Linked DNA regions of Caenorhabditis elegans. The protein of the gene in region 3 interacts with the protein of the main gene of each other region in a pairwise test. Each region holds a gene or a part of one and is shown on either strand. Other genes may lie near its edges.

Region 1 (8,403 bases), on a different chromosome or scaffold from region 3:
AGGATGTTGTGCGTGGGCTAGGCTACAAATCGCGTCTCCGAGTGTCGATTTACTGAAACTGGGTGCTGCTTTCCATTTGCTCCAATTTTTAACATTGTTGGAAAAAGTTAGGTTCTTAAAAATTTGAACGATGAAGATTAGGAATGAAACTTGTTTATTAAAAATTCTACAAACTCAGGTCAGCGTTCAAGTGACTACAACTTTATTGAAAAAAAAAACAAAACGTGTACAAAACCTCTAGGAACATGCCAAATGAGTACTATCACACAAGAACTGGCCAAGACGAGCTGACATAAAAGGAGACGACTCGATAAAGAGATCAATGATATTTGTTTAACTATTTGTTTGAACAACACGTATGCTCTTTTCGTTTCTTCTTGAACGAATGCCAACTACAGTATCTTGTAAGAATCTCTGTTTCTTCTAATTTTTGATGGAAGACTTTTCAAAACGCCTGTGCAAAACTAGGATGTCAAACTAAGAGAATACGGTACATCTAAAGTTCCAGCATAGTTGAAAGGAAGTACTATGCATCCTACGTTTGTTTTATATATGCCTATTTTCAACAGCCCTGATGACGATTTAGTCTCCTGGAGCACATACTTCTTGGCTCCACCTCTTATTTTGAAATTGAGCAAGCAAAAACCATGTGTTTTTTGTTGATGTCTCATGGGAAATGAACAGATGGAGTATATACATAGACAACGAAAGAAAACAGCAAATGTACAGAAGAGAAAGGTCAGTATGAAGATACGCAGATAGCGAGAGAGAGAGATAGACGTTCCTTTCCAATTGTACGTCATTTTTGCCTACGTCACAATCCTTTACATCCTTTCCTTTACACTAAAACACAACTGCAAAAATAACCGAGTTTAGCATCCTTGAGTGCTAAAAATAGCTCACGGACAGGCAACAACTGCAGATATTGTGACGTAGAAACGCTAGCCGAAGAGTAATTTGGCAAGGCTCCTGAGAATTTGTACGTCATCACTCAATCAAAGAACTGAATATATGCAGCTGCGAAACAATTTATATAATATTTTCTGATATTGTGAAGGATTAAAAATGTGAAGAAATAGCTGAATACTGAAATATTGAACAACTAACAATTTGTAAGAGTAGGAAGGAAACAATTTAAATTGTTATTTTCTAAAATGAGGAAGAGTGGAAGGGGTTCTTATGGTAAATACCAACGAACAGCTGTCCGCGTTGCGTAATTGTATTTATGACCCGTTCTGTACGAGATACTAGACGCAGCATGAGAAGATAGACATTGACCGTTCAACGGCAACCGGTCGGCTCAATTGATTTTTGAGTAGCCATGGGAACATGTGTGAGATAACTTTAGATCAGGGTGTGAGCCGCAAACGATATGTTTCGGTAAAAATAAAATAAAATAAAACTTTATTGAAATTGAAAATGGTGAACCAGTGAGATTATGTGCCCTTCTTACTTTTTCTCGATTTCTGAAATTAATGTTGAAACTTTGAAGTGAACATTGTTAAACTCACATCCCTCTTCAGTTTTTTGTAGACAAAATCAAATCTTTTCTCTGAAATATAAAAAAAAAGTTGGGCGAAAATCAAAGCTATAGTTTTACAATTAAAAAAATTACCACAGATTTTGCAGGTTCCTTTTTCCCAGTATCGATTGCATCTTCATTGGTCACATGCTGAGTGCTCTCAATCTCTCTGCTACGTGGATCCGATTGCGTCTTATCAGTGGTTATAGTTTTATCTTTCTTCGGGATAATGGATTTCTGGGACTTCTGTTGAACAGGAGGCGGCTGAGCAACTGAAATCGGCTGTGCAGTCTTGGCACCACCTGATGGAGTTAAAGCTCGAATTGTTGGTTGTTTTGAGACAGGCTTCTTTTCCATTTCAACAATGTTCTCCAATGTTGCACCATCCTGATTTGGTGGAACGACTGGTCGTTCAGGCATCTGGTATTGTGCAAGAGGATTTTCGTCGTCCTCTCCAACAATTGAATCTCCAGTTTTCTCAGGTCTATCCTTTTTCGTTAAACGTTTCGCCATTTCTTTGAAAGCGTCATCCCTGAAATTTTTTTGTGCATTTTCTAACTTTATCTGGAATTCATTTTCAAAAATGTTGATGCAAACTTTAGAAAATTGGATTTTTAATTTGTTTTCAGTCAATTCGGAAAAAACCAACACGTTGGTACAACACACGCCAATAAACAAATATATGGAAGCACTCACGTGGAATCTGGTTCTTTACTGGACTTGACTCCGTTCCGACCTCCTTTCGTTTTTGTTGAACCTCTGTCATTCTCGATTGTCGTGAACATTGCGGTTGCGGTGTGATTCCCTGGAATTAGATATAATTCTCAATTATTTAATTACAAAATTCAAGTTCTAATCTGCGAAATAACATTAAATTACCGGTGGAGTGATTTCCAATGTGGTATCCTTCTTTTCCTTTTTAAATTTTGCACAAAACACGAGAAAGCTATTACATGATATTGCAAAAAGCATCGAAATAACAATTATAATGATCATTATATTGACAGTTGAATTGTACGCTTGACCAAATGAAGAAAGTAGAAATACATTTTCATGGGTAAATTTACTTTATCTTTTTCAAATCAACGTTGTTCTAATTAGTGGGAAGAAAATTAAAAGAACACAACGTGATTCAAAGTTGATATTTTACCATCCACGTTTGTCTCGGTAGTTTTTCTACGAGCATTATAAATTTGTGTGTCGTCGAACTCCACTCCGCTTATTTCTACAGATTCCAGACTAGCGCGGCAGGGACATTTTTTCTTGAAATTTCAAAGTTTGCACATTCGATTCCAATGAACGTTTCAAACTGAGTCTACTTCATATATTTTCTGTGGTTTTTTAGCCAATGTTCTTGTAATTTGTAAAAAAAAATATGTAACCTAAACCTTATTTTGAGCAAAAATTCATTTTCATTCAATTCACACATGAAAGACAAAAGGCATTGATAATTAAAAATCATAAGTAATTGTTTTAAAAATTATATATCATAGCGAAACCGAAAGCACGCGATGAACATGAAAAGCGAAACAAATTTGGCCGAAGAACCGTTGAAATCACAGAATATCGTCTCCAATTGCAGATCCTTTACGAGAAAATGATCGAAGAGAGCCAGTGTCAAATGAGTGACTTACACTGAGATACGTACGAGATATTCTGAAAATTTCAAGATTGATTTGGAGTTTGTTCAATTAGCAGTATTTTCTAGGAGATATTGTGCATCTTTAGATACCTATGTACTATTAAAATTTTTTGTCACATAAGAAAATAAAATGCAGAATATCTACAGAAAATACCTGAAGTTTGAAAAAAAGGTTCACCGCAAAACACTCGAAAACAAGATCAACCACACTGAAAAAGTCACACAAACCAGTAGACAAATTCAAAAAAAAAGAGAAGTAAAACAGTGCGTAACATGTTTGAATGAATGGCGGATACCTTCGGATACTGTTCCACACTTGCCTAGTACCACGCCGTGACGTGGATTGCTGAGCTCGAAGCAGAAGCTCATTTTGACATTCATTGTCACTTATTGAGGTACGACTATCACCAACATCTTCATCGTCGTCCTAAAAATGTTGAAATTGATTTTTAATAAAAAAGGACGCTTACTTTGACAATGACATAATAAGCAGTTAAAAGTGCTGCCGTGTTAGCAGCCATTGTTGTAATGGAGAGAAGCGGTTGCAGATGTCCAGTCACCAATGCTAATACCATTACTGTAAGATAATCTGTTTTATTGATATTCTTCACAACGAAATTCAAAACCAGAGGAAGAAGTAATTGAGAAAACCCTCTGAAAAATAAAAATAAACACGAATTCAATTTCGTCCTTACTGTATCAATATAATTTATGATGGTCGAAAAATTGTCATTACGCGATTCCTGATTACCTATATAAAATTATATTATTCGAATTCTGAAAATGTTCCCTACTAATAGGCGGGTAATTTGAGTGCACCCTAGGCCAAATATCTTTCATTTAAAAAATTGAAACGGGAAAAAGCAAACGGAAGTTCGAGGAATACCACGTGATGTTATAGGTCATTAATATTTAATCATCATCTATTCAAAAGGGTCAGACTTTTCTAGTTTTGAAAAATCTTGTGAACTTCATGTTTTGATGCTTATTTTATATGGTTGCTTGAAATTAAACGTGTCTTCAAACACGAGGTTCAAAATTCTTGATCAGCAAAAACTGAACTTTAGAACACCACAAAAACTGTGACTCACGGGCATTATTATTCTGAAAATGATTTATGGTGAGCGACAGTGTTGTGATGAATGCAGTTGGAACTTGAACAACGAGAAAACTTATTGTTACAGTCGTTATTAGAATTCGTGTTTGATCTCGAGGAGTTCTTCCGAAACGATTGCTGAAATTAATAGAATTGAATAAAATTGGTGGTGAGAAAAGTTTCAAACTGAAATAGACTAGAAAATAAACGGAAATTGAAGGAAATTAGTTGGAAATTAAGACTACAGTTTTCAACTTCTTTTTGCCTGCCTGGAAGGCAACATTTCAATTGAATTAGAAGACATTTTTAAATACTATTTCATCTGAATTCGTTCGAAAAACACCGCCTTAAAACTAACTGTTTTGTCAAATCGCCCATATCAATTTCGGGTTCTCGAATGAATCCAACATGAAGAAGAGCCAGTAGAACTCCAGGTATCACAAATTGAACAGCAAAATCCGCAAGTGGGAGGAATACCTGAAAAATTGGTTTCATTTGAGACCAGGTACATTCAGAGTACGACATCAATTCTGACTCAATAATTTTTGCATAAAACCTCCCCCACATTCATGATCTACATCATCAAAATCATATAAAATAGACAATGTTCGAATGAGAATTCGTATCAGATCATTTATTCACTTTTCATATTTTCTCTTTCTAATTTGAAGAGAACACTATGTACTCAAAAGCTGTACTACTTGCACTTCTGGTTTGCTCAGCTCTTGCCGCCCCAAAAGCAAAAAAGAACCAAACGGGAAATGAGCAAAATCAGCAAAGCCAGTCAGGTCAGAGACAGACTGGACAAGGCCAGCAAGTAGGATCTCAGCAAGGATTCGGAGGAATGCAAGGAGGATTTGGAGGGCAATCAGGATTCGGTGGTGGAAGCTCCCAGGGAGGGTTCGGTGGATTTGGACAGCAAGGTGGATTTGGAGGAAACTCTCAGGTAACCTTTCAACATAGCTCTAGAAACCTGTTTCAGAAAAAAGTAAAACAAAATTAAAAATTTCAGGGTGGATTCGGAGGACAACAAGGAGGATTTAGTGGAAATTCTCCGGTAACGTTTAGTGCTTCATACGCCTTCCACGTATGCCTAGGTCACCTTGAAGGCTCCCTACGCCTATTTTGCAGTCGTCTTTGATATCTAGCGGCGCGACTGATATAGTAGTTACTAGGCACGCAGGCAGGCATTTTGTGACTCATGGAAGACGTAGTACTAAATCAGATACTAGTTTTGCAATCATGATGTCACGAACAGAGTAATAAAAAATATTTCCAGGGTGGTTTCGAAGGACAACAGGGAGGATTCGGTGGATTTGGTCAGCAAGTTGGTTTCGGCGGGCAGGTTAGATAGGAAATTTGTTTAGAAATTTTTAAACGTAACAAATATAGGGAGGATTCGGAGGTAACAGTCAAGGTGGATTCGGAGGTCAGCAAAGCGGTTTTGGTGGTCAAGGACAGCAATCAGGATTTGGCGGAGGTTTTGGAGGAAACTCTCAAAATGGATTCCCAGCTCAGAGACCATCCCAACAGTCTGGATTTGGTGGACAAGGAATGCAATCTGGATTTGGAATGAACTCTCAACAGGGAGATTTCGGTGGACAGGGACAGCAATCTGGATTTGAAGGAAACACACAAGGACACTCCCAAGGAGGATTTGGTGGGCAGTCGTCTTCTGGATTTGGAGGTCAGCAAGGTGGGCAAGGTGGACAAGGTGGATTCGGAGGATCTACTAGAACCGGTGGAATGCAAGGAGGACAAGGAGGACAAAGTGGATCAAGTGGGTTCGGTGGATTCGGAGGCTTGGGCCAAGAAGGACAACAGGGTGGACAGGAAGGATCCAATGGAAACAACAACCAAGGATTTTAATATGTGATGTTCAGTATTTCATCTAAAAACTGGTAATGTGTTCCACTGCTCTTTTTAACGCTAACTTTAATGTTTTATTTTGACATTTTTAATAAATATTGAAGCATTTTTACAAACACCTCTAAACTCCTATTTCAAAGTCCACTTCGAACTTTAACAAATCGGATTATTCATTGAACAATTTGAACATCAAACGTATGTTTTTACTCGACAGTTTTCAAAAACCACATTTGCCGAACCACGTCATAATCCCATAGAAATCGGTGAAACACTGTGTATAGAGAATATCCGTTATTACAGTAATGTTCAAACGTTAAACAACTATGATTTTTTCGTTTTGTTTTGGAAGAGGGAATCCCCGAAAAGTTATCCAACCGGTATTTTCTCGATGGTATAAAATGAGTTTTTATTGGCTCAGATATCATCAACTTCTAATTTTCAGCCATTTAAGGTTTGTTTGAGAATTTATAACCTCACTTCTAAATATTCGATTACAAAGTTTTAAAAATCCTAAATTTCAGAAAACAATGTCCTACTCCTCTATGATTTTTGTTCTCCTCGTTAGTGTTGTACTTGCCGACGACCAACCAATTCCTCCACCAGTTCAACCAGGCATGGAAGGACAGCTTGGAATAGGGCAACCAGGTTTCAATGGACAACTGCCGGGACAAATTGGAGGAGTTCAACCTGTGATTGGAGGAATTGGGGTTCCAACACTTCCAACTTTACCAACTCTGCCGAGCCTGCCGACACTTCCAACAATCCCACCACCAGGAGTTGCACCAGGTGGAGTTATCGGACAACCAGGAGTTGTCGGCGGAATTAATGTACCACAACCAGGAATATAAATTTTTGCGCTTTGTCTTTTTATTCATATTTATTGTATATATCACAACTTTGATTCAAATAAACTTGAATTTGAATTTGAAAGAAAATTTGAAGGCAACATTATCAAAATAACATTATTTGGGAGAAATTAATCTCAGAATATTGAAGAGCATTAAAACTTGGTTTTGATAATTAGTGAATAAGAACCAACTATACTGGAATTATCTATTCATAAAAAATTATCATGATGTCTTTGTCTGTTTTTACAATAATGGTTACAATAATGGTTAATAATGGTTAATTTACAATAATTACAATAATTTTTACAATGACACATATTTACAAAAATACCATAGCCTGCTTTTAACGCGTCTATAGTCAACGTACATGTGCAGTTTTTTTTTCATTTTTAATTGAGCTTTTGGAATGAAAAAGTAAGAAGAATCACTAACTAAATACCGTTTTCCAAAAATTTTGCTCAACATTTTCTAGCTCAAATGCTGTTTCGATTTAGAGATCTCAAACGCAGAAGTAGATTTTAAATTGGCATATTGCTACTATCACTTTCTGAAGAAAAAAGCTTTGCATAGAGTTAAGCGGCATTGTTTTGTTTCAAAAAAACTTGAAAAATTCGCATTTTGATCGTGATCAGCGCAGCAACAAAACAAGTTCATATTATAGCTATTTTGCCTGTCGATCATACGGCTTTTCACCATCAAACCACTAAATCCCATCATTACACAGACATACTCATTGGCGCCCACAGAGTTCGAGAAAAATTCGTTGATTCACAATGAGATTTACATAAGTCCACCATCATATTTTTGGTATAAAACGACCGAGGGAATCGTTGAAAAGGCATATACTTTCACCAGTATTCTTTAATTCTTCATCAACATGTTCTCTACTAAACTCGCAGTTCTTCTCTTAGTTGTCGGTATCGTCATGGCTGCACCACAAGGTGAACAGGGAGGTCAACAAGGAGGTCAGCAAAGTGGTCAACAGAGCGGACAACAGGGAGGACAAATGGGGGGACAGCAAGGAGGACAAGGTGGATTCGGAGGATCTACGGGAACCAGTGGAATGCAAGGAGGACGGGGAGGACAGAGCGGATCAGGAGGATTCGAAGGAAACGGAGGATCAGGCTCTGAAGGACAACAAGGTGGACAGATGCGAGGTCAACAAGGACAGCAAGGAGGACAAGGAGGATTCGGTGGACAACAACAGAGCAACTAAATAACTTTTTAAAGATGTTTCCCACACTATTTTGAAATAAATTCATCACGATTAGTATTGTGTAAAAACAGAAACATAGGTTTATACTATTGAGATCTCCTTTTTTGAGCGTATTAGACGGGCTTGCTGTGATTTTAGTGAACTTGCCGTTAAACAGGACTACGCAATTCATACTGTGAAACGGAAACAAACACTCACCTTCCAAAACGA
Region 2 (7,806 bases), on a different chromosome or scaffold from region 3:
TATACAAACTAGGAAATAGTTTACATGCCTACATACCTATTTTAATGCCTATACAAGTGCCTAGCTACCATATCAGCCTTACCTTCAGGGTTCCCGGGACCCACAATTCCTGGCCAAACTGGGAATGGGCAACGATTGAAAATATTAATTTTTCTGTCTCCGAAAGAGTTCAAAGGGAATAGAAAAGCTATTAGAAGGAAGAGCATGTTAAGCTTGATATTTTCCAAATAAAATCCCTATTTTTGTAGTGTAACTGTCCAAGTTTTGATAGGTCATTTGTGTTGGTTTAGATGGCGGTTTGGAGTTGAAAAACAGGAAAAAATAAATGCTGAGCAAATATGTGCATAGTTTGTAAAAAACAAAATGAGTTATTTATAAGAGTTAAGAGTTAATAAGAGTAATATAATTGGCGATTATTTGATTTCGAGGAGGCTGAGCATTGGCAATTTTTGTTTCATGCTTTTGATTTCATCAACACTAAAAACATCTTACTTTAGTGAGACTGCATCTATATAACAAATTGCCTTTTAATTGATTGAAACTCTTACAAGATCCTGAAAAACTGAACAAGAAGTAAACAAATTTGTTTCAATCTCATAGCAAAAAGTATGGCTATTATTGGGGACCCTTGTGTCACTAATTTTTATACCGGAGTGCTCGTAATGAGAAAATAAAATCTGACATTGAGAACCAAGTACGACCTCGTATTACTCGGATTGAATTTTAGGGTTTCCAACTCCTGTTTCCATTTTCCCCAAAAATTGAGAGAAGATCCCTGACAAAAAATAAATTTTTTGTGCAAATAATGTATTTAGTCAGTCAACATTTTCAACATTTTCAAAAATATGGGCTTTGAGCCCATTTTATTCTCACTTGCAGCCCAACAACATCCAAATTTCAAATTTTTATTCTACAGAACTTGAGAGTTCACATATTCTATCCGTCGAGGGTGTATCCTGGCAATGCCTTGCGGCAAAGAACTGTGACACTGGAGGCACAAGCTGGTCCACGAGCCGAGTGTTCCTTTCCTTGGTAACCATATCCGTACGACTCGTTGCGAACATCAACCTTGGCAAGGATCTGTTTTCCGCCTGGCAGGTTAACGACTCCAACTGAGATGTCTCCCTTGTGGTTGTTAACGTGAACTGGCTTCCAGATCTTTCCAGCATCAAAGTTGGCAGCTTCTGGGAATGGAATCCATCCATACTCGTATCCAACGACGTGTGGTCCAAGACGAACAAGCAATTGAATGGATCCAACGTTCTTGCAGTATTCGTTGTTGAACCAAGAGAAGTTGGCAGCAACCTAAATATTCCAAAATTAGAATTTCCGTCATTCATAAGATCCACAAACCTTTCCTCCCTCATTCCAGACACGACCCATAACAGGTTCACCCTGCATGTACCACAAGGCAACATATTGATCGGCACTGACTCCTGGAAGAGTATCCAAAGACTTATCCAAAGCTTGAACAAGCTTGCGAGTAGGCCATGGATCTCCCTCTCGGATATCGATCCATTCGTCGTGTATGACACGTGGTGGTGGTGGGCCCGGTGGTGGGATTGGTGGTGGTGGTGGTGGTTTAGGACAGTTCTCGCATTCGCAGTGTGGTGGTCCTCCGATGCAGTTGCGAGTGATGATGTACATTTCATTCAACTGTGGACCGACTTGTTTGATCACCTTGCCATTGAACGAGAACCATCCTTCCTCCGTCTTATTGTCAACGTATCCAAGAAGATTGCCTTCCTTTCTCTTCCAGAAGATTGGGAACGAATCTCCACAGCGAACAAGTTGATGTTTGTCGTCGATCTTCTCAATACGATCCTTGTATTTGATCCATTCATACCAGAATCCTGAAATGTTTATTCTCTTTAGCCCAATTGGTTCAATCTTTCAATTTGGTTAACCAGTTCAGTCAAGTTAACCAAACATCCTTATCTAAAGCCATCAAGCTCACCTTGGTTGTTGTGATCTCCGACATACTGGAGCACCTGAATTTGTCCCTCGAGCTGTTGCTTGGTCGTCAACTCTGCCTGCTTGTATGGGAATGAGCATTCAACCACTCCTCCGTTGTTCCAGGAACGTCCATGAATTGGTTTACCATGTTTGTACCAGAGAGCAACATACATGTTCTGCTCTCCCATACATTTGACAGGACTCGGCGGGAACGGTGAACCAATCGGCTGGAAAGCCCATGTGTCTTCTTTTGGTGGCGGATTCGGCTTCGGCGCCATCGATGTTGTTTACGATGATTGAAGGCGATCGAAGTATTGTTCCAATATGAGCAAATATGGCAATTTCGACTCCTTTTATAGGGAGATTCTTTTTCATTAGGGAGAGGTTACCAGGGGGTCACATTAAAATTTTGGCACTTTAGATGTTCTGAAATTTAAAAAAAAAAGTGTTCTTCTGTTTTTGTATTTAGCGCGGTTTCACGTGTTTAAAAACATTTTGTTGAGTTGAAAAAATAGTTTCAAGAATTAACTCATGAAGCAAAAATCTAGGGTTACAGACGCAACTGCTAATTAAGATAGGGATGCGGCTTCGCTCAGGAGCCGCCAAATTTTTCTCCACTTTCTCAGCAAAGTATATATATTTTTGGTCCAAAGCAATAAGTTATTCAGTATCCTTATTCCATAACTTTTTAAAAACTCACTTACAGAGCTTACTTACTTCGGCTTGTTACAGTGCTGTATTATTCTAAAGAATGATTCACATCAAAATTCATATGTCATTTTTGCAAGTTTTTTTATTGATTTATTGTACTTCTTTGACTATTTTCGTTTGCTTTGTATTGATTAAGCTCGGATCACAAAAATCTAAAACTATACTCGTTTAAATGGAAATGTTGATAAAAATGGACAATTTCCCGATTGCTTTTTGAGACCTCTTTTAATTTGTATATTTTTAGCTTTTTTAATGTAAATAAAAATTTTCCATTATTTGTATAAATAAATACAGTTTTCTATTTTCTTGAAATTTGATGCAAATTTCTGGACATTAACATGATCGACTTCTTATTTAAATTGGAGAGCAAACGTTTTCTAGTTACCATATACTTTTCCAGGAACTTATTGTCTTTATCAAAAAGCGCTAGAAAGTTGTCAGCCATTTGATTAATTTGACACACTGTAACTTCAATTTTTGATGCCGTATTCATTATATTAGTATGGGCTCCCTATTAGGCTTGCACTCCCTAATAATATTACAAGCGTGTTTTACGTGTTGGTTTAGCGTCTGATAGTTCATTGAGTTCATCAAAAATGTACAGTTTATTTGGATAAAAAATAATTAATTTTAACGTAACCTCCTCCTTTTGGTGTATATAAAAGGTGTTAAAATATGAAGAAACGTTCAGTTCGAATCTTTTTAATCGATTCAAGCACATCGTATAAACGCGACAAAACGACGGAAATATGATGAGCCCGTTGGACTATCTGCATGTCACTTTGCTGCTCATTGGCCCACTTGCCATTCTCATCGGATGTGGAGGAAAGAAAAAAGCACCGTGAGTTTACAGGAGCTTCAGGAATTAAAATTACAGGTCTTATTTTTAGACCACCAAAGTCGGCATCCAAGATGACTGCTCCACCTGCTCCTGCATCAGCGCCTCCCGCTGCTCCAGACGCAGCCCCTGCTGCTCCTGATGCTGCAGCTGCACCAGCTGATGGCGAGAAGAAAGATGGTGATAAGAAGAGTGAGATGAAGGAAGGAGAGGAAAAGAAGAACGAAAAAAAGGAAGGAGATGAGAAGGACGAAAAGAAGGATGAGGAGAAGAAGGATGGAGATGATAAGAAGGACGAAAAGAAGGACGACGATAAGAAGGACGAGAAGAAAAGCGACAAGAAAGATGAAAAGAAGGATGACAAGAAAGAGAAGGATGAGGAGAAGAAGGATGACAAGAAAGAAGACGAGAAAAAGGATGATGACAAAAAAGATGACAAGAAGGAAGCCAAGTCCAAGTCCAAGAAGTCCAACAAATCCAAGAAATCCAAGAAGTCGAAACGAGAAAAGAAGGATGATAAGAAAGATGAGGATAAGAAGGACGACGACAAAAAGGATGACGACAAGAAAGATGATGTGAGTTTATATTTTAGAACCCTTATTTGAGCAATCTTCTAACCATACATTTTCAGGAGAAGAAAGACAACGAGAAAAAGGAATAAACATTTCTTGGCCGATCTCTTCAAATTCGAACTTCTAAAGTCAATAAATGTCTTATTTTGAAATGTGTTTTGTTTTCTTATTTTTATTCCTGTTCGTCGATGTGATTGAAGTATTCTTGTACAACCCTTCCAGTTTTCTGTAGGTAGAGGTAGGCGGACAGGCATGCAGATTTATTTGACAAGTAAGGCAATGTCGTTCAAATCAAGCTGTTGACGAATATCATCACGATCTTCAGATGTATATGTAGAATATCAGATTGATTTGAGATTGCTTTCTTCAAAATTAGATTCTTCTGAATCCAACAGTACTTTGCAATAATTGCTGATTTTTGGTAGTCTGATTTAATTTTTTTACCATTTCTTGTTTCTTGGTTTCTTGAAATTCCCTTCAATTTTTCTTGGCTGTTTTTAACCAAGAATTCTTGTTTCTAGTTTTTTGGCGGAAATAATTTCTCGCGAATCCCTGGTGCCTGGTACGTAATTTTAATAATTTGCACAAACTTTTATAATATCACTTTGAATACGTGACGTTCACGAAAAAACTAAAGATTTATATTTACACTACATATTAAATCACGGAACATCCACGAAAAATGTTGAAAACAGCCTCATTTCAAGTTTTGCCAATTTTGGAAGATCTCCATTCTATAGAAGTAAGAAATACACAATGAACTCGCAAAAGAAAATGAAGGAAGATATCAATTGTGGAGAAATTAAACTGATCATTGAAAGCGTAAAAGATTTCAAAAAAATCAGCTCTTCAGTTGGCACAGTTATCAATCTGCCATGGTAAGTTAAAGTTGGTGTTGATATTTTTTGAAAATAATCTTGTATTCAGGAAACTTATACTCGAAAATCGGATAAATTGAAAATCAATTTATCATGTAATGAAGATTCGGCAAACACTTTGTGGAATTGTCAAGCGGATATTGTTATGCAACTAAGCTATTTTGATACGAAATCTGAAGCTCGAAAGAAATTGGAAACAATTTTCGAGAAAAAATTGTTTGATTCCAAGAACAAGAAATTTGAAGAGTCAATGGATCAATGGGCTGAGATTTTCAATGAAAAACGTGAACTTGAGGGAACTATTGAAGTGACAGCTAATCTGAAAATAACAAAAGTTCAAGGATATCGAAAAAGGAAAATGTTTGATTACTCAACGGATCATCATCGTTATTTCGATGGAATTCTTCTTGTTGAGAATAAGAAAATCCACGTCAATAAGAAAATTATGTCAATGAGTTCTACATTCTTCGAGAATATTTTCTTTTGTAATTTCAAGGAGAAGGAAGCGAAATTTGTTGAAATCCCAGGAGTATCTTACGATGAATTCATGATATTTCTTGACTTCATTCATCCCACCGGGCGACAAATTGAATCTGGATTTTTGGAGAATATGATGGTTCTAGCTGATTTATTCATGACTGATTGCGTTATGAACTCTTGTGAAGAATTTCTCATCAAAACAGACAAAGTTGATATGGCAAAAAAGTTGATATTGGCTGAGAGATTCTCGTTGTGTGAATTGATGGTAAGTTGGAAATCTTTTATAAAAATTGTACAAGCACACTTTTTAAGGATCACTGTCTCAATAGCTTCAAAACGGTTCGAGATTTCTTGCCGTTTGCAAAATTAGAATTCTATTCTGAAATCTCTGATGACATTAAATCAGCCCTCATGGAGCGTCTCGTTCAAATCAAACGTCTTGGTCTTTCCTAATTGTTCTATTTCAATAAAGCTTGAAGAATCGTTCGAAAAGAAATGTTTATACAGCATTTTATTCACATCTACTTCTTCGTTTTTAATGTCGCCAAACATACCACGCGTTTGATTGAATTTCCTCAACTGTCGCTTGACTTTCTGAAACTGACGCAAGCATTTTCCAAAAGGGCTTGTCGCGGGAGGTCGTTCCCCTCCTCGATTTTGGCGATACAGTTTTCCCAGTAGAAGTAGCGTTTGTTCATGTCCTAAAAGAAAGTTCTACACCAGGAGCATGCGGCACTTTTTCGGCAAACGCACAAAACTGTATCACCATATTACCGGTACAGAGAATGTAGATAGTTAGAGAGTAACAGACATCCGGGACCCAATGGGGCGGGACGCGCGGAAGAGACGATTTGTGTCGATTTACGAAATTTTCCTCGTTGTCATCATTTCGTAAATCGACACAAATCGTCTCTTCCGCGCGCCCCGCCCCATTGGGTCCCGGATGTCTGTCACTCTCTAACTATCTACACTCTCTGTACCGGTAATATGATAATCCGAGTTGTTTGAGGTTCGTTCTATCATAATATAATAAGTTTCTTGTTTCTTGATTTCTTGGTTTTCTTAGCATTTTGACAAAATTTTCTTGTACTTGTTTCTTAAGCAAAATTTTACCAAGAAATTTCGAAGAAATGTATTTTTTAGAGTTCAAAAGCCGCAAGATGAAAACGCTCAAAGCATGAGGAATTCTGCTAGTGTTTGTTCATGTGCCAAAATATTCGATCACAGACTTTACCATTCAATAATTGCTAATTTTTGACAGTCTGATTTAATTTTTTTTTTCTTGGTTTCTTAAACTGCGCATAACTGGTAGACATGCTCAAATGCTCCCGTATTTTAATGAAAAAGAAGTACATTTACGTGTGAAAACAATATTTAATACTTTGATTTCAAAATATCTCACAAACACTTTTTTGGCGTGACACCCTGACACTATGTGACCTTTGCAGCCCCCTGAATGAGAATCCATAGGAGAATCAAAATCAAACAAAAATCAGTACGAATCTTCATATTCGATACAAAACATCGTATAAACGATACCAAGCGACAAGAAGACGATGAGCCCCATGGACTATCTGCACTTCATTTTGCTTCTCGTCGGCCCACTTGCTGTGCTTGTTGGATGCGGAGGAAAAAAGAAAGCACCGTGAGTTTATAGGAGTTTCAGGAATAAAAATTACCGGTTCCCTTTTCAGACCACCAAAGTCTGCGTCCAAGATGACTGCACCACCTGCTCCTGCACCAGCGCCTCCCGCTGCTCCAGATGCAGCCCCTGCTGCTCCGGATGCTGCAGCTGCACCAGCTGATGGCGAGAAGAAAGATGGTGATAAGAAGAGTGAGAAGAAGGAAGGAGAGGAAAAGAAGGACGAAAAAAAGGAAGGAGATGAGAAGAAGGATGGCGATGACAAAAAGGACGAGAAGAAGGATTTTAAAAAATGATAAGAAGGATGGAGAGAAAAAGAGTGAGAAAAAAGATGAAAAGAAGGACGACAAGAAGGACGACAAGAAGGATGGAAAGAAGGACGAGGAAAAGAAGGATGACGAGAAAAAGGACGACAAGAAAGAAGATGACAAGAAGGATGACAAGAAGGATGAGAAAAAAGATGATAAGAAGGAAGCCAAATCCAAGTCGAAGAAGTCCAACAAGTCCAAGAAATCCAAGAAGTCTAAGAGAGAGAAGAAGGATGATAAGAAAGATGAGGATAAGAAGGACGACGACAAAAATGATGACAAAAATGATGACAAAAAGGATGACGACAAGAAAGACGATGTGAGTTTGACAGATTCTGACTTTCTTAAAATTTTCAACAAATTTTCAGGATAAAAAGGATGACGAGAAGAAGGAGTGAACAGAATCCTATCGAACTAACTC
Region 3 (8,174 bases):
ACTACTAGTCAATACTAGTTCGCCAAACTTTCCCATCACTTTTTAACTCTGTTACATAATACTTTTGCTTCAATGAAACGGGGAAATGATTTTATTTTTCACATTTTATTCGTGTTCCAATGGTTTTCTATTTCCTTCTTTTTCTTCTTTACTGTTTTTCAAAAAATATTTTCCAGATGAAATGTGGATTTTTTGTTCTCAAAAAAGTGCAATACGCGACGTTATTGTTGTCATGTCTTCAAGTTTCAGCCAAAAGAAGAACGACGCCCTCCACGCAGAGCTCTTGCTCTGTCTCCGCCTCCAGCACCAAGTAATGATCTTCTTGCAAAGAATCTGGAGATGATTGAGATGCATCAAAATGGCCTTCATTCCGAGGGGACAAACTTTTAGGGTGGCAAGGTATTTTTGGGGACAAAGTATCCAAAGTGACATGGTATCCAGTCGACAAAGTGCCATTTGTCTCTGACCGGGCGTATCTTCGGTGACAAACTTTTTCAACTAGTTTTTTATATATATTTCTCAATCGATTTTTGTTTTTTTTTCACTGGAATAAGTTTTTAAATGCAATTTTCCATGGATTTTCGGCCTTGACTACTCACAATTGAATGTATGAACAATGATCCCTCCTGATGATCTGATTATTCAGCTTCAAAGGATCAGAAGGGTACCTCCTGGTGATCTGATCCTTCAGCTCCGAAGGATCAGAAGGGTACCTCCTGGTGATCTGTTCCTTCAGCTTCAAAGGATCAGATGGGTACCTCCTGATGATCTGATCCTTCAGCTTCAAAGGATCATAAGGGGTATAAAAGCAATAAATCAAGCATAGTTGATCAATTCTCCGTGATAACAAACTTTTGGGTGACAAAGTATCTTAGCGGACAAACAAAAATTACCGGAAACTGATATATTCCAAATATATTTCAAATATATTCCAAATATATTCCAAATATATTCCAAATCTATTCCAAATATATTCCAAATCTATTCCAAATGTATTCCAAATATATTTCAAATATATTCCAAATATATTCCAAATATATTCTGACGTCCTTTTGGCACGCATCATATTTTCGATCGTGAAAGTTTTGAAACGGTTTTATTTTACAAGTTTATAATTTTGGAAACAGAAAATATATTTATATAAGTTTTAACAGCTGCGGTGTGTGTTTCATTAACTTCCAGCTTCTGCCAAATGAATGTTTGGAATTATCCAAAGCCTTTTTTCACCATTTTTATAAAAAATCTGAACAGTGAGTACAGATTTGGTCATATCTCTGTTCCCTGGTACGATAATAACACAATTTCGCACAGAAATTGAGAAAAAGATTAGTAGAATAGGAAATATATTTGGAATATATTTGGAATAGATTTGGAATATATTTGGAATATATTTTAAATATATTTGGAATATATTTGAAATATATTTCGAATATATTTGGAATTGATTTGGAATATATTTGAACTAATATCAGATTAAGACTGAATATTTGACAACTCATGTTTATTGTATAAATTCAAATTTCAAAACTGCAGAGAATGGGATATTGCACGTGGCTATTTGGTAATTTGAATGCAGAAAAAATTCCAAGGAATATGAAGTGGACCAAGGAAAATAAATTGGAAATAGCAACTTGAACATTAGGAAACGGGGCTAAGTGAATTGAAAATGAAATCACATGAAAAATAATACGAAGGTAAAATTACTCCAAAATCATTGTATCTCCAACTGCCATCCCCTCCATGGAGGCTCCATGGCCCTCCATTCTCAGGATCCATAAGTCTGGTTAAAAACAAGCTCGTAAACTAGAGATTTTAACAAGTTGTGTGAAAATTGAATTCTCTGAATCTAGGTAAGTGTCGGATGAAGTCTAGCAGTCGGAAAAATGTACTGCTTGGTCCCATGACCTGTCGGCTGCCTAATACTAGGTACTATTTGAAAGAAATTACGTCTAAAATCTAGCTAATTAAAATGATTACTTGACAAAAATAGTTTGCCAGGCTGAAGTTTGAAAGATAATTATGTTCCAAATATACTTCAATCCTAAGTAAAAAACAATGAATATCATAAATTATTCATTTGATTCGAAAAAGGCACCCACAATAAAGCGAGAAATAAGGGGACAGGGAATTTTGGAGAAAAAACATGGGATAGGAAGAATCTTTTAACATAAAAAACCACAGAACAAGTTGATTTTGTAGGAGAACAAATTAGTTTAGTTTTTGTTAGCTTCAGGATCCACCATCCGTTCGCTGAACTGAAGAATTGCGGGCCCTCCACGCACTTCTGCCTCAAGAAGTGGAAGTTTGACGACGTGGAAATCCTCGTAGAGCTCATCGATCTGGAAAAATTGATTTATTCCGCATCTAGCAAATCACGACAGAGTCAAAAATGCACTGTGGTTATTCAATATTAATTTGCTCAAAGTTTCTAATTTAATAATTTATCAAACTTCTCATTTAAACTCACATCTGTCAAGTATTTCGACTGAATCGCCTGTCTCGATGCACATTTTCTGCATGAAACTGTTCCATTTGCATCGGTATCCGGAAAGAGAAGTTGATTCACAATAATATTATGAGTATCGATTCCTTGTTTGGACAACTCCTGAATAAGTCGTTCGGTTTCGTAAAGAGAGAGGAATTCGGCAATGCAGACGCAGACGAATGTGGTGCAATTCTGTAAATACATATTTGAATGCTCTGCAGAAACTTTGATGATTTAAAATCTCTGAATTCAATATATATCAAGCTAGAATTTACCCTTGATATAATTGAAAAGGTTAAAAAAACATATTACCAAGATGCAGAATTTTACGACAATTTTCGCGTCTGGGTGATATATCTCCGTAGTAATTTTAAATATCACTTGAATCTGAAAAACTAACAGGATCCTTAAACTGTGCGTTCATCTTTTTCACAGATTCTAGAGTCGTTGTCATCTTTTCAATCATTTCATTCATTGATCCACCTCCCATTCCAAACATTCCACCGAATTGATTCATCATTGGTCCAAACATTCCTTGAAGTGACAGAATTTTCGTAAATACTTTTTCCAAAAGTGTTGGGAATTGAAGAAGACGAAGAGTGTGCCCAGTTGGAGCGGTGTCAAAGACCACAACGTCGAAGTCAAGAGAGTCTATCAACCTGAAAAAAATAATAGATTTTTTAAAAATCAGAATCATTGACACTCACTTTATCATTTCCCCGAAACTCATTGCCTCATCAATCCCAGGAAGTCCTCCAGCAAAACTTTGAAGAAAATCTTTTCCCATCGAGAATCCACCGCTTCCACCTTCGTTTTGTGCAGCATTTTGCAGCATTTCTTCGATATTCCCCATTTCGACGCCTTCTCCGTTCGGATTTGAATCGATTTCCATTGCAAAGAGATTTTTGAAACCTTCGACCAGTGTTGGAGTTTTTGTGAATTTCTGACTGAAGGCATCAGAAATGTTGTGGGCGGGATCGGTGGAGATGAGAAGAACTCTCTCACGAACTTTTGAGAGTTGAGCTGCCAATGAGCAACTGCATGTCGTCTTTCCGACACCTCCCTTTCCACCCACAAAAATCCATTTTAGCGTTTTTTGTTCGAGAATATTCTTGATAGAGGCTTCCAGCTGATCCGACATTATTTCTGAAAAAAAAAGAAGTTTTAGGTTTATTTGCATTTAAAGTTTGAAATTTTAAAAAGAAATGTCTAGCCTTTTGCAGTTTTTTTAATTTTTCAAGTAAAAATGGATACAAATTTTTATTGTTTTTCTACAGTGTTTTCTCGACTTGATAGGAGTTAAGTTCTTTAATAAATAACTTTTTTGATTCGATTATGAAAATTCCGAAAGTGTTTATTACAGTACTCCAAAGGCGCACAACTTTCTGCATTTAACAAAATTTTCTCGGGGCGAGACCCAGGTTACAAAACCTCAACATTTTATGTCTGGGTAATATTTTTTTTTGGAGAACTGAAGAAATAATAATAAGGTAATAGAAAACCATTAGAACACGGATAAAACTTGAAAAAAATGAAATAATTTCTAAAACTTTATTAAATAAAAATCGAAAAATCATTCGGACGGTTGTTTCTGTGAAATGTGAATTAGACGATCATCGATATGAACTGGTTCGGAGCTCGGAGTCACTTGCACACCACTGGCCTTCAATCTGAAAAAAATGAATGTGGGTTCCATGTCATTGCAACGATTTTCCGATGTAATACCTCAATTTTCGATTGTCCCAAAGGCAATCCGGCATCGGGTAAGACAGAAGATACCTGAAAATATTGAGTTTTTTATGAGAATTTTCCATAAAATGAAACTTACAGTTTCAATGGCGCAATGTAATAATCCAAAAACTCCAGAATTCGCTCTTTCAGACTGTTGTTTGGAACCTGAAATTGGAAACTTTTTGTTAAAGTTAACAAAAATTTGAAGAAAACTCACATATTTCGGCGAATATTTGCTCTGCCGCTCCACGTCATTCATTAGAAAATATTTTGGATTTGACTTCATTAGGAAAAAATTCAAAAAGTTTTATTTTAATAGTTCGTCAAAAAAACGAAAAAGTCTCTGTTCAGTTTATAAAGAGAGTGATGGAGGGTAAGGGGTCACGTGGAATAAATATTACAGTTGTTTTCAAATAATGTTTCTATTTTCAAACAAGGAAAACTCGGATTTAAAGCTGATCTCTAAAAATACTCCGACGTGCAATCACAGCTCGAAATGGGAAATCTAAACACAGGATGAAGCTTCAAAAGGTCAAATATGCAAAAAAAGAGACAAATGATGGGAACCCGTAAAAAACGATCTCGTCTTCAAGAAGATATGATCTTAAAATTCACAAAAAAATCTACATGGCATCGAAATGGAATCGATGAGATTGTTGTTGTCGTTCGTATCGATCTTCCTTTTTCTCTCGATAATGTAAGAATACGACAACCATTAGAAGCATACAGCATACGAGAGCAATGACGGCAAGACTCTGGAAAATGAGAATATCGATTTATTATAGAGACGTGGAAATGTGCCCCATGGCCAACTGACTACGCTCCGCCCCCGAGCCATGGGTCTCGTTAGTTATTTGGCAGCAAACCCGTGAATTCAACGAATTCGTATTTGCAACCATTTTGAAATGTTTTTCGTTAGTTTTAATGATTTTTATGCCGAAATTATGTTTAAAGAATGCATTAAAAATGAAAAGTTTTTTTCTTTTATTTTTTAATTTTATTTTATCAATTTCCGTCGTTCCCATTTGGAGCGTATGTCCACGTCTCCATAATAATCTTACCTGAACAATAAGAGCTGATGGTGTGACGTAGAGCCGACTCGTCCAGTGTGGATATTGATCCGATGGTGGGAGAACAATAATCCGAGAATTTGGAACAATCTGTTTAAGACTGTGTTTCCAATCTTCTTTACGATCTGCGTATTTCGGAATGGCAATATTCAACTGAAAAAAAGATTATTTGGAATAATTGAACGAAAATATCTAGAAGATATGAAATTACCTCATCCACAAAATTTGGACTTCTTCCAAGACCATACAACAAAAATGGGAGATAAAGTGCTCTATTTGATGAAGCCGGAACTTGACATGCTACACTCTGTGTACTACCTCCCCATCCATCTGTCATTGAGAAAGAAGCACATGCACCAGTCATACTGATACTCGATCCAATCTCGTTTGATTTTGGATTGCATCGATCACTGCAAACTCCTGTGAAAACTTGAACTTTCAAGAATGTTGTATCTCCTTTATCAGGGCAGTAGATGAATCCAAAACGTGTCTGACCACCGTATTCATACTCAACAAGAAGATCCAATGATCCATCTTCAAGAAGATCAAAAAATGTTCCCATTTTGATGACTCCGAGAGACATATTTTTTGGTTGAATATTCTCTTGAGCTCGGATTTCGAATCGTCGTGTTCCGTTCTTTTCACATTTTGTACATTCTGCATTGTCCATTACTTTGATCACAGGGCGAGTGTTGGCCTGAAATTATTCAAATTTTGATTAATGAAAGGTAATTTTTTTTGCATTATTCAGTTAACTGAAGTTATTTTTGGGAAATCAAGTCTGATCTTCCTATTTTTACTCTTCTCGTACTATTAATTAATTAAATTTTTGAATTTTAGGCCATGTCCTAGTATTTTCTCGTTACTTCCCGTTATTTCTAATGAAAATCGATAACACTATCAAATTGATTATTCAATGAAAAACAGGAAAATGAATAAACTATGTGATTTTAGAAGTGTCATTCATCAGCAGAACAAGATACATTACTGTATTTAGGAGTGAGTGGTCTGTTAATTAAAGTAAAATGCGTCTCTGCATCTGTTACAACATACCGAGGGAAATCAAGAAAATGCGAAAAATTACTTGAAATCCAAAAATTTAATTAGTTAATTGTCCGAGAAGAGTACACGGCCGCGTTTCTTACAAAACTCAAAGAAAATTAAAAATCGAAATTCAAATTCAATAGACGAAGAGGTTGATTTTTGGAACTTTTAAAGAATCAGATATACATAACGCCTTATCAAGCCATAGAACATTTTTTAAAAGTATACAACCACATCCTGTTTAAAATAAAAATTGTTAAACTCACTCTGGTTGCCTGCGCAATAACCACCATATCAGGGAAACTGTCCAACGAGAATTCTCCAACGCGGAATATAACTCGTGAAAATGGTTCTTTAATAACTGTATAATCTTGCATATCACAGGCCACCAATCCCCAAAGTTTAGTCTTCGACCAAGAAGCCATTTGAGTAATGTGTGAGCACTCATCTTCACGGCAGATTGGTACTAGAATGTCGAGTTCACCGTCCGAATCAACATCCATAACAACTGGAGCACCAACGAATGGATATTGTGCTGGAGTCAATTTAGGAACCCAATCTCTAAATTGCCAGCTGATTTTTGTCTTTTGCCAAACCTGAAAAATATATTGCATTTCAAACTACTACTGTTAAAATAGACTTACACTCATGAAAAGTGATCCATCGCTTTCTTTGGTCATGAAGACAATATCAGCAATCAGGTCGGCTAAAACGTGAAATTGTTAGATTCCAATTAAGAAAATATAAAAATTTAAACTCACAATTCAAGTCAACAAACAAGTGCGGCATTCCTGGATAAATATTTAATTTTTCGGGAAAAGCGACGAATTCATGTTTGCAACCATTCACCAGTAGATTGTATTTTCCTTCTTTATTGAATCCGGTACAGAACATTGATCCATTCGGATAGAATCCAAGAACATCAGTCCATCCATCATCAGAAACATCAATGGCCATTGCATGTTGTTGAAGCATTGCCACGTGGAATGGACGGAATATTTCCTTCTCGTCTTCAATTTCTGATGTCCAGAGAGTGTGATTGTAGATTTCAGTGTCTTTATCGCGAATTGATACCTAGAAGAAAGTCATAGATTATTAATTTGTTAAAAGAATCAATACAAATTTGCTCTATTAGAATAATATGCACAAAACCTGAATTTAAAAACGAGACTTTCCAAAAATTTGTCAAAAAGTTTTTGGTTCAAAATACATATGTTGTCTAAATATTTTTTTTTTAAATTGAGCTAAAATCTCTAAATAGTTTTTTTTCGCGGACAGTAAAAAAACTGATATTTCGAAAAAAGTAGTTTTTTTCGAAATATATCATAAAATTAAGGTCATTTTTGCTCTTTTTTGATGAAAATTATGTCTTCTCATGTTTTTTCATCAACATGAATAAAACTTGAATTTCATTGTTAATTTTATAAATTTTGTTTTTTTTTTCGATTTTCCGGGAAATCAAAAAAAAAGATGAATATAACAACTTTCGTTTTTCGATTTTCAATTTACTCAAAGCAAAATTGAAATTTTTTTTGACGGCACTTTTGGTCACAGCTGTCGGAAATTGATTTTTATTTTATGATTGGCTTATTATGCATATATTGTTGTTTACATTACGTTTTTTGTTGATTTAATTTAAAAAAATCAATTTCCGGCCGCTGTAAACATGACAAAATGTAGATTTTAGCTAAAATTTGGTTTTTCTTTCGAAATTTTTCGTTTTTCGGGGCATTTCAAGTTCAATGAAGCAAAATGACAATGTTTTCAATAAACTCACCAAAACATCAAGCCTAGAGTCTCCATTGAAATCGCCAACTGAACATTCAACAAAATCTGCATTCAGG
Region 4 (7,598 bases), on a different chromosome or scaffold from region 3:
CGGGAGCAACAGGCAGACAGCAGAAGTGGAAACTAGAGAGGAACGGAACAGATTTGGAGTAAACTAATGATGAACGGGTAGGACACCTGTTCCAAGTTTTTTTTTTGATTTGTCATTTGAGTCGGAAGGATGAGAAGCGCGGAATGTTGGAAAACGACATTTCATTTTATGAGCCACCAGATGGAAGAGATTTGACAAGCAGTTTACGATGTGTCATTTCACACTTTTTACCGCTCAGTGAGAGGTCAAGCTTCTAAACATTTCTTAGATTCCCAGGAAATTTTCGTTTACGTCAGCTCTCAATATATTTACAGTTTATTTAAAGACGATATTTTTCAGAGTAAATTTTAATTTGGTAAATATTTTCCAAAACCTTACCCGTTTCTTTTGTGAACTTTTCAATTCTAATAACTTTTTAGGTATAATCAAAAGTTTTATAGAAATAGAGGTCATAAAATATTATATATCCGTATTTACTAACTCAAAATTTAAAAAATCATCATGGATCATCATGGTTTAAAATTTTGGCATTTTTTAAAGTTGTGATGTTTCTGTGATGATTCAAATTTGAGCTATAGCGGGATCCGGCTTCAGTAAAGTCTTGCCCAAGTTTTGTCAAACTAAAGTTGGCTAAGTAGTTGACATCAATTCAAGTGAATAAATGTGACTTCTGGTGTTATTTTTTTCAGATGTTATCTTAAAATTCAATGAAGAGAAACAAAAACCAATAGGTAAGGAGCATCCGGTGATCTGAAATCGGCGCTAAAATCCAAAGCATTCAACTTCCCAGAAGCCTCTTGCTCAGAAGACATAACAATCCAAATGCAAATTTTATATTTTCTTAACCCCTAGATCACTCTTTTGAAGTTTCCTACAATCTAGCGAACACCCATCGTTAGAGCGCATTTTCCTGAATTAGTCATCTATCTTCACTTCTTACTTTCACTGACCACCTTTCAATGATTATTAATCGCGTCAATCTGAAACATAATGAGATTTGAAGAGAGTACATAGAAACAGAGAGAAATCCATCTTGTTTTAGAATAGACAGTCAGTTATCCATATCCTTTCAATCATGTCTCTCATCCGTCACGCTCTGCTCGTCTCTATTATATTAACTGTAATTCCAGCACAATTCAATATTCCATTACCGTTTGGTGGTATTTCATTGAATAAAAATAAAAATGGAGAGGTAAGAAAGCTTGGAAGAAAAGAAAAGAAAACAACTTTCAGCTGGAAATTGGCGGAAATCAAAACTTCAATTTGTTTGGTTGGGGAGCAAATCGAGACTTCAAACTGACGACTGGAAACGGAACGTTCAAATTAGATAGTAAGTGGGCAAAATAAATGAAGGATTTATTTTTCACAACAAGAGAGGGAACAAATGAGTATAGAAATTCAAAATGCATTCAATCGACGGAATGACTCTTCCCTCTCTCGGCTCATAAGCTTCAGAATGAGCTATTCATACATTATTCTTTAAAAGAGGCACACAGAAAATTCAAACTATGTTCTGAATAAGAAGCGAATAAAAAATGAATCATCTGATTATGGTTAGTGCCAGCTATTTTTTTGTGTTTCTCTATTCGAACTCCTCATCCGTGAACAATTGAATTTGACATTGAAGAGAATGAAACAAAATCAACCATACAACTAGGAAAAATACGAGGAGCTCAAAAATCTATCTGGAAAATCTAGGAAATCTAGATCTTATCATATAATTTTTTGAATTAAAAAAAACAATTTAAAGGTATGTAAGTAATTTATATAAGGAAACACAAACAATACCAAATTGAAGTTTAATATATATGGACTGGTAGAGAAACAGTTGAAAGTTCGCAGTAAGAACCCAATTTCTTTTGAATATTTATTCAATAGTTTACTATGAATTGGTTCAATCAAGACTAAATTCTTATATCGCATGAATGAATTTAATATTTGAAAAATGATGTAAAACCTTTTGAATTGATTCAACACTAATATGTTTAAGCTTTATATTTTCAGAAACTGATGAAGCAATTCTAAATGGGTCAACTTACGGAGGCAGCGGCTCAATTGGTGTTGATGAAAAAACTGGAATCGATATTGGGCAGAATCTGACACTTGACGACAAAAAATTGGTGGTTAGTTGGGAGTTGAAGAGCAAAAAGATCTTATTCAAATTTAAATTTTTTCCTGATATTTGTCTCTCTTATTTTTTCTCACATCTTTCCTTCTCGATGCTTATTTAAATGAGGTTTTGCTAGATGTTGAAAAGATATTTGAGAGATTCAAGCACTAGATTTGATTTGTTTTGTTTTCAGGGAGGTCTTGGGAAAGAAATGAACTTTTTGGAAAGTCTTGCCGCACTTTTCAAGCCGGCTGCACAACCATCCAAAGAGAGGACGGAACTAAAAAATATCTGAAAATAATTGGAACATTTGTGTCCTATGGTCAAGGTCGGCTTCACAAGTAATGTAACTGTTGTTGATTTCTATTCAATGGGCGGAGTTACTCTTCTTATCTATTACATTTACCACTTTACAAATGTTTCTTCCTGTATTACTTTGTTTCTCATGATCATCTCATTTCTTTGTTTATGGATTTCAATCACTCATTTCTCATTTTATTAAAAGTTCTTTTGATAAGTTATTCGAAACAATTGAGGGTTTTATGGTTTCTACTTGCTTTTATCAATAATAAATGAAAACTATAAAAATTATAATTTATTTTCAACATGCCGTATCAAAAAATCAAAACTTCGCATCATGATATATTTCTGAAAAATTAAAATTTTGGATCAAAACATTTTTTTTTAATTATTATCTTTTCAATACTCCCAAAGTGCAATTTTGGACATTGACAAAATTGTTTTCCCGAAACATCTGAAAGTAATCTGAGAGCCCGTGTATGACGAAACAATACTGAAAACGTAGTGAAAAATTCAATTTCTATCTCTCAAAAATTCCAGATAATTCTGAAAAAAATACTTATGCAAATCTCGATTGTCATTGTTCCATGCCATCTTGATCTTTTCCTTCCTATTCTCTATTAAATTTCCTTTCGTCCAGTGGTCATATAGACACTCGATTGACCTTCACTTTTACAACAAACTAATTGCCAATTGAATGATGCCACAACATGATGGTCACAATCTTCAGTCTCGAACAAAACCGTTTTCATTTCCGTGCCTACTTTTGCAGATTCAACGGAACTTGGCAGATCAACCATGAATCTTCCGTTAACCTTGATATTTGTTTCTGTTCTAATATCACTGGTCTCGTCGCTTGGAGAACTTCCTGAAAATACAGAATCTGCTGAAGATGCTGCATTTGTTCTGAACTCAGGAGATTTTAGAAGGGATGAAGGGGAAGATGTCACAGTTATTGATGGTCCAACTCCGCCATCTGTAGTTGCTGCTCCACTAGATCCACTTCCAGAAATGAGCATTCCAGTTGCAAGACCACCAGGCAAGCAATTATATGGGATATACTTTTAATTTTGAAACAAGTTCAGGTTTCCGTCCACCCCCTTCTTTCAAATCAAAAAAGGATTCTGGGGAGCATGCGGAGCCGTCAAATGTTGGGGTAAGTTTTATTTATTTTATTACCTAATTGAATTTATACACACATACATATAGAACTCCTCACTAACTAATTGAAAATTCATTCAATCATATTTCTATATTCAGTTGCCAAAACTTTCTAAAAAAAACTCATTTTAATATTTCCAAAACAAGGCAACTTTTAAAAACCGTTTTAAAACCCATTTAAGACATTTTTCAAAATAGTTTAGTTCCTCCTACTTCTTCTTTTTACCCAAAAGCACTCAATTTCTGAGTTTGTAATCCCATGTTTCACAGTTGGTTCCGATCTATGAACAACTCACAAATCTTCTTCATTTTTCAGTTCGTCGTTCGTCGTGGTCGAGCAAAAGTTATGGGTTTCTCCAGGAGGAAGTCTGAATCTACAGACTGATTTTTATTTAATTTTTTTACTTGTGTTTGCAACTATTGAAAAAGATTTTTGAAAAAGTGTTATACAATAACATATGTATGCCTGATTTTTGATCAGATAGCAATATTTGCATCTTTGTGAACTATCATAAATCTTGCCCATCTTACCTTATCTAAAACTACTAATATTTATAGGCAAAATTTAAATTGCCTCTAATGGCTGGAGAATTTTAACTAAAGCAAAACGGAATTTAGTTTTTTTGTTTTACTTGAAGCAGATGACAAGTCTGATAAGAACTTACTTTTTGTCTTTCTATGTCGTGCTGATTCTGCATATTTTTTACAAATTTTCTTCGATATGGTTGTCAGGAACATTTCCACAAATAATTTTTCAATTTTCCACGTCTTCTCCTTGTATCATATCCCCGATCAAAAAAAGATTGCAAAAAATGAATGGTTTTTTTTTTTTGCAAAATCTTAGTCATTCTGCACGAAAAGACATTTTCGTCTTGCACAATAAAAAAGCAGAAAGGATATAAATGATTTCAGCCAATTCCTCTTCAGCATCTCCTCCTACTTGTTCCTTTTGTCTTGCGTGATCTATCCATTGAAGCGCGCAATAGATGATATCATCAGAAGACGTTGCAAACGCACAAGACATCGTTGTGTTTCCGGCGTTTGCGGAGAGCAGACGCCAGTTTTAATCGTTTCTTGCTCTTCTTTTGCGTTTTTTTTTGCCGAAAAAAAGTGGTTTGCCGACGACGGAGGCGGTTGGTGGCCACGTTCTCGCCGTTTTTGTCCTCTGCATAGTCTTTTTCATCTTCTTCTCCTACTTCTTCGGCTTGTTGCAAGACATCCCCATATAACGTATTCTGTGTGCAAGTGAGTGCTCATGTCCTCTTCGTTTCTTCCGGGGCACCCGAGGAGAAGAAGAAGAAGCAGAAGGGTCTGAAGAAAAGAAGGAAAAGAAAAAATGGAGTGTTGGCACGGAATTTGAATTTCATTCGGGTGTTTCGACTTACTACCGGGGGAAAATACATTTTTGAGTGGACACACTAGCTGCATGTTTACCCGCAAAAAGTAAGTAAGTTTAAAAAAAACATTTATATATTTTTGAAAAATGGCAAAACATTGCGTGATAGTTCCAACCAAACATCCCTTGAAGCTTCAGTTCTAGTGAATATGTCAATATTCAGAAGCAAGTCTTCATTCTTGTACTGTATTTTCCAGGAGAAACATTCATTTTTAACCTAACTCGCCTACTCTAAGAAGTGTATCTAAAAATTTCAGAGTGAGCTTTTCCTGTACAGAAGACTAGACATTAAAGTTTGGTTACATTATGAAATAAGGAAATCTACTCACTTATGGAATTGTATTATTTCAACTTCATATATTCAGAGCACGATTTTGGAATTTCATTCATTCTGAACACCACCCGAAATGTTTTTGCCCCTTCCTCTTATTCCAGATTTTCAGTTTAGATTTTGAATGTTTTAATTTTTGCTCACATTTGATTCAAGAATGTCAGCTATGTTTCTAAGAAAATCAAGTCGTGGATTTATTGTTGAATTCCTAGAACCAAAATCTCTAAAAACTCTTCAATTCATTTTCAAGCAGTCTATTGGTTGATGTCCTTGTTGCTCCAATTCACTTTTTTACTTCCGTTGTTCCGATTATTTTTGTTCCTCGTTCTTTCATGGTGAATTGGCTAAAATATATTTTCACAAGAAAGTAGGCATGCATTAGTTTTCAGGCAAGTTACGCCTTCCATTTCCACTGGCAGACCTCTTGGTGTGGCCAACTATTTGTTTCCATAGTAGTTATTAGATTCCAAACATCTAATTTAACTTATTTTCAACAATCAGTGAATGAATTATAAGCTCAACTGCTGCTTTCATTAAGAGAACAATCAGTCACATGGTTTTATTGAATGGCTTTTCCTCGGAAATGTGCTCTTTTCCATGTGACTCAGTTCAGATTATCCATCAGCGCCAAATGTTGCCTAACATCAAAAATAATAAATACCAACAATCCAATTCGGAATGTTTATCTGAAGAATTTTCACATGATCCGAAGATCATGTCGGCTCAATTTCATTTTTCTTTTTTGTTACACTAGAATTAGATGACCCCAATCATTCTGTGAGGCACGTGAACGTCACACTTAGGTTCGCATGTCCTTGGGTCTTGTTTCTCAGTGCTTTTCATTTCACTTCTCTTGTTTCTTCGTATTGGTTTTTTTGCGTACATCTTGTTTTTGTCGTCTTCAATTCCCATCTCCTCGTTTTTTCGATTCCCTTTTTTTGGTTCATCTTGGCAGATGATTCGCAGATTCTCCGAACTGATATCAGCTCATTTTCTCTTATTTCACACCATTTCAAGCAAAATGTCCTTGATGAAAAGAGATAAGGATGGGGGAGTGGGAACAAACAACAAAACAAGCCGTTTTTGGTAAAAGATGATCGAAAATCGAGAGAAGGTGGCAGACAGTCTGTCATAGACACTTGCCAATCTGTCTGCGGGGTGTATTCCTATCTTGAAATAATTTCGAGGAAACACGCTTTTCACCGACAAAAGACAGCTGTTTTATAGACGATCGCGGGGTGGCGGCCAAAGGGGCAAACAATTTGAAAGGCATCGTGCGTCATGAATTTTTTGTAAATTGTTTTGTTTTTGCTCACAGTTGGTTTCGATGCCGCTGTAATTCAATTTTCGAGACATTCGTGTTTTTTAAATAATTTTATTTGAAAGAAAATACTGTAGTTTCATTATAACTGAGTCATTTTTCATCGAGAAGGAAGCAAAAAAAAAAAACAACAAACAAACTCACTGTCAGCTCAGTTTCATCCGTTGACTTACTGACGTATGTTTTATCACATCTTGAGATTTTTAATCTTTAGAATCAAATAAATGTTGAAATCAGTTTTGAGCGTTTTTCATTTTTTGGTTTTCTATTTATTAAAACTAGGTTGTTACGTGCCTGTCTACAACTAATTTTTTGGAATCCAGATTGGTCTTTTTTCAGAGCAAGTTAGCAGATTTTAGTATTTCATTACATATGTAGTAGATGCACTTCGAAAATTTTTCAAATTCAAGTCAATTTTAATTCAAATTTCAATTTCGCTTTCATAAGCAGATAATTAAAATCAGAATTATAAGTTTAAGTGTCCTTTAAAAAATTATATTTTATTAAAATTTAAGAATCGACTTCGCATGATTCGAAATGGTTTTTTTTTTTCAATTTTGAAAGGAATAACCATGCTTTGTTAAACATTTCCACGAAAATGTATAAAATTGCTCATATTTCAGTAATTCTTGGGATTTACACGAAATTTGAATTAGCATTTTAAAAACGATTAGAGCGGTTCTAAACGATTTTCGACTGGTGTAATTTATATTTTTGGAAAGATTATATTTTAACATTCCGCAATTCTCCTGATCTAGTTTTCATTATAGAGACTTGTCACAAAAACAGTTATTATTCCTCATTGCATTCTCCCTCACATTTGTTCTCTTTTTATGCATTCCCTTGTCTTTCTATGTTCCCTCTACATCGATTATTAGTAACGTGTCCTTGGTGCACATGATCACACTATAAACATTGGTTTCCTGGTCCTCTCTGTCGCAGTTTTCCATTTGATTTCTCCTCTCGCTTCCAATTTCTC

Evidence for each region.
Region 1: the proteins of asna-1 (region 3) and K01A6.4 interact in a two-hybrid assay, tested with the Caenorhabditis elegans proteins (one large-scale study listed by BioGRID).
Region 2: the proteins of asna-1 (region 3) and cylc-1 interact in a two-hybrid assay, tested with the Caenorhabditis elegans proteins (one large-scale study listed by BioGRID).
Region 4: the proteins of asna-1 (region 3) and spig-17 interact in a two-hybrid assay, tested with the Caenorhabditis elegans proteins (one large-scale study listed by BioGRID).

What each region holds. Positions count from the first base shown.
Region 1 is NC_003282.8:11,736,821-11,745,223, reverse strand, and holds K01A6.4 (Glycine Rich Secreted Protein), read left to right. Parts: upstream 1-4,919; 5' UTR 4,920-4,939; coding exon 4,940-5,206; intron 5,207-5,272; coding exon 5,273-5,317; intron 5,318-5,539; coding exon 5,540-5,605; intron 5,606-5,652; coding exon 5,653-6,129; 3' UTR 6,130-6,235; downstream 6,236-8,403. Other genes in the region: K01A6.5 (uncharacterized protein), read right to left, coding at 1,520-1,552, 1,616-2,054, 2,219-2,327, 2,476-2,518; K01A6.7 (Collagen-like protein), read left to right, coding at 6,657-6,977; K01A6.8 (Glycine Rich Secreted Protein), read left to right, coding at 7,855-8,193; K01A6.6 (G_PROTEIN_RECEP_F1_2 domain-containing protein), read right to left, coding at 3,079-3,178, 3,461-3,591, 3,635-3,741, 4,256-4,398, 4,619-4,737, 8,392-8,403.
Region 2 is NC_003282.8:5,221,319-5,229,124, reverse strand, and holds cylc-1 (Lipoprotein), read left to right. Parts: upstream 1-3,352; 5' UTR 3,353-3,416; coding exon 3,417-3,508; intron 3,509-3,557; coding exon 3,558-4,080; intron 4,081-4,136; coding exon 4,137-4,166; 3' UTR 4,167-4,231; downstream 4,232-7,806. Other genes in the region: thn-6 (THaumatiN family), read right to left, coding at 83-206; nsph-4.1 (Nematode Specific Peptide family), read right to left, coding at 937-1,305, 1,354-1,853, 1,958-2,234; Y59E9AL.8 (BTB domain-containing protein), read left to right, coding at 4,953-4,955, 5,005-5,700, 5,748-5,888.
Region 3 is NC_003281.10:8,890,541-8,898,714, reverse strand, and holds asna-1 (ATPase asna-1), read right to left. Parts: upstream 3,634-8,174; 5' UTR 3,627-3,633; coding exon 3,193-3,626; intron 3,145-3,192; coding exon 2,886-3,144; intron 2,678-2,885; coding exon 2,468-2,677; intron 2,340-2,467; coding exon 2,214-2,339; 3' UTR 2,061-2,213; downstream 1-2,060. Other genes in the region: ZK637.4 (uncharacterized protein), read right to left, coding at 4,059-4,155, 4,211-4,264, 4,314-4,381, 4,434-4,502; lnkn-1 (Protein linkin), read right to left, coding at 4,840-4,971, 5,278-5,439, 5,498-5,983, 6,597-6,926, 6,975-7,036, 7,092-7,404, 8,108-8,174. UniProt on the Caenorhabditis elegans protein: ATPase required for the post-translational delivery of tail-anchored (TA) proteins to the endoplasmic reticulum. Recognizes and selectively binds the transmembrane domain of TA proteins in the cytosol.
Region 4 is NC_003280.10:6,170,467-6,178,064, forward strand, and holds spig-17 (FMRF-Like Peptide), read left to right. Parts: upstream 1-3,182; 5' UTR 3,183-3,208; coding exon 3,209-3,449; intron 3,450-3,495; coding exon 3,496-3,566; intron 3,567-3,887; coding exon 3,888-3,956; 3' UTR 3,957-4,097; downstream 4,098-7,598. Other genes in the region: F40H3.3 (uncharacterized protein), read left to right, coding at 1,076-1,192, 1,234-1,330, 2,005-2,123, 2,304-2,405.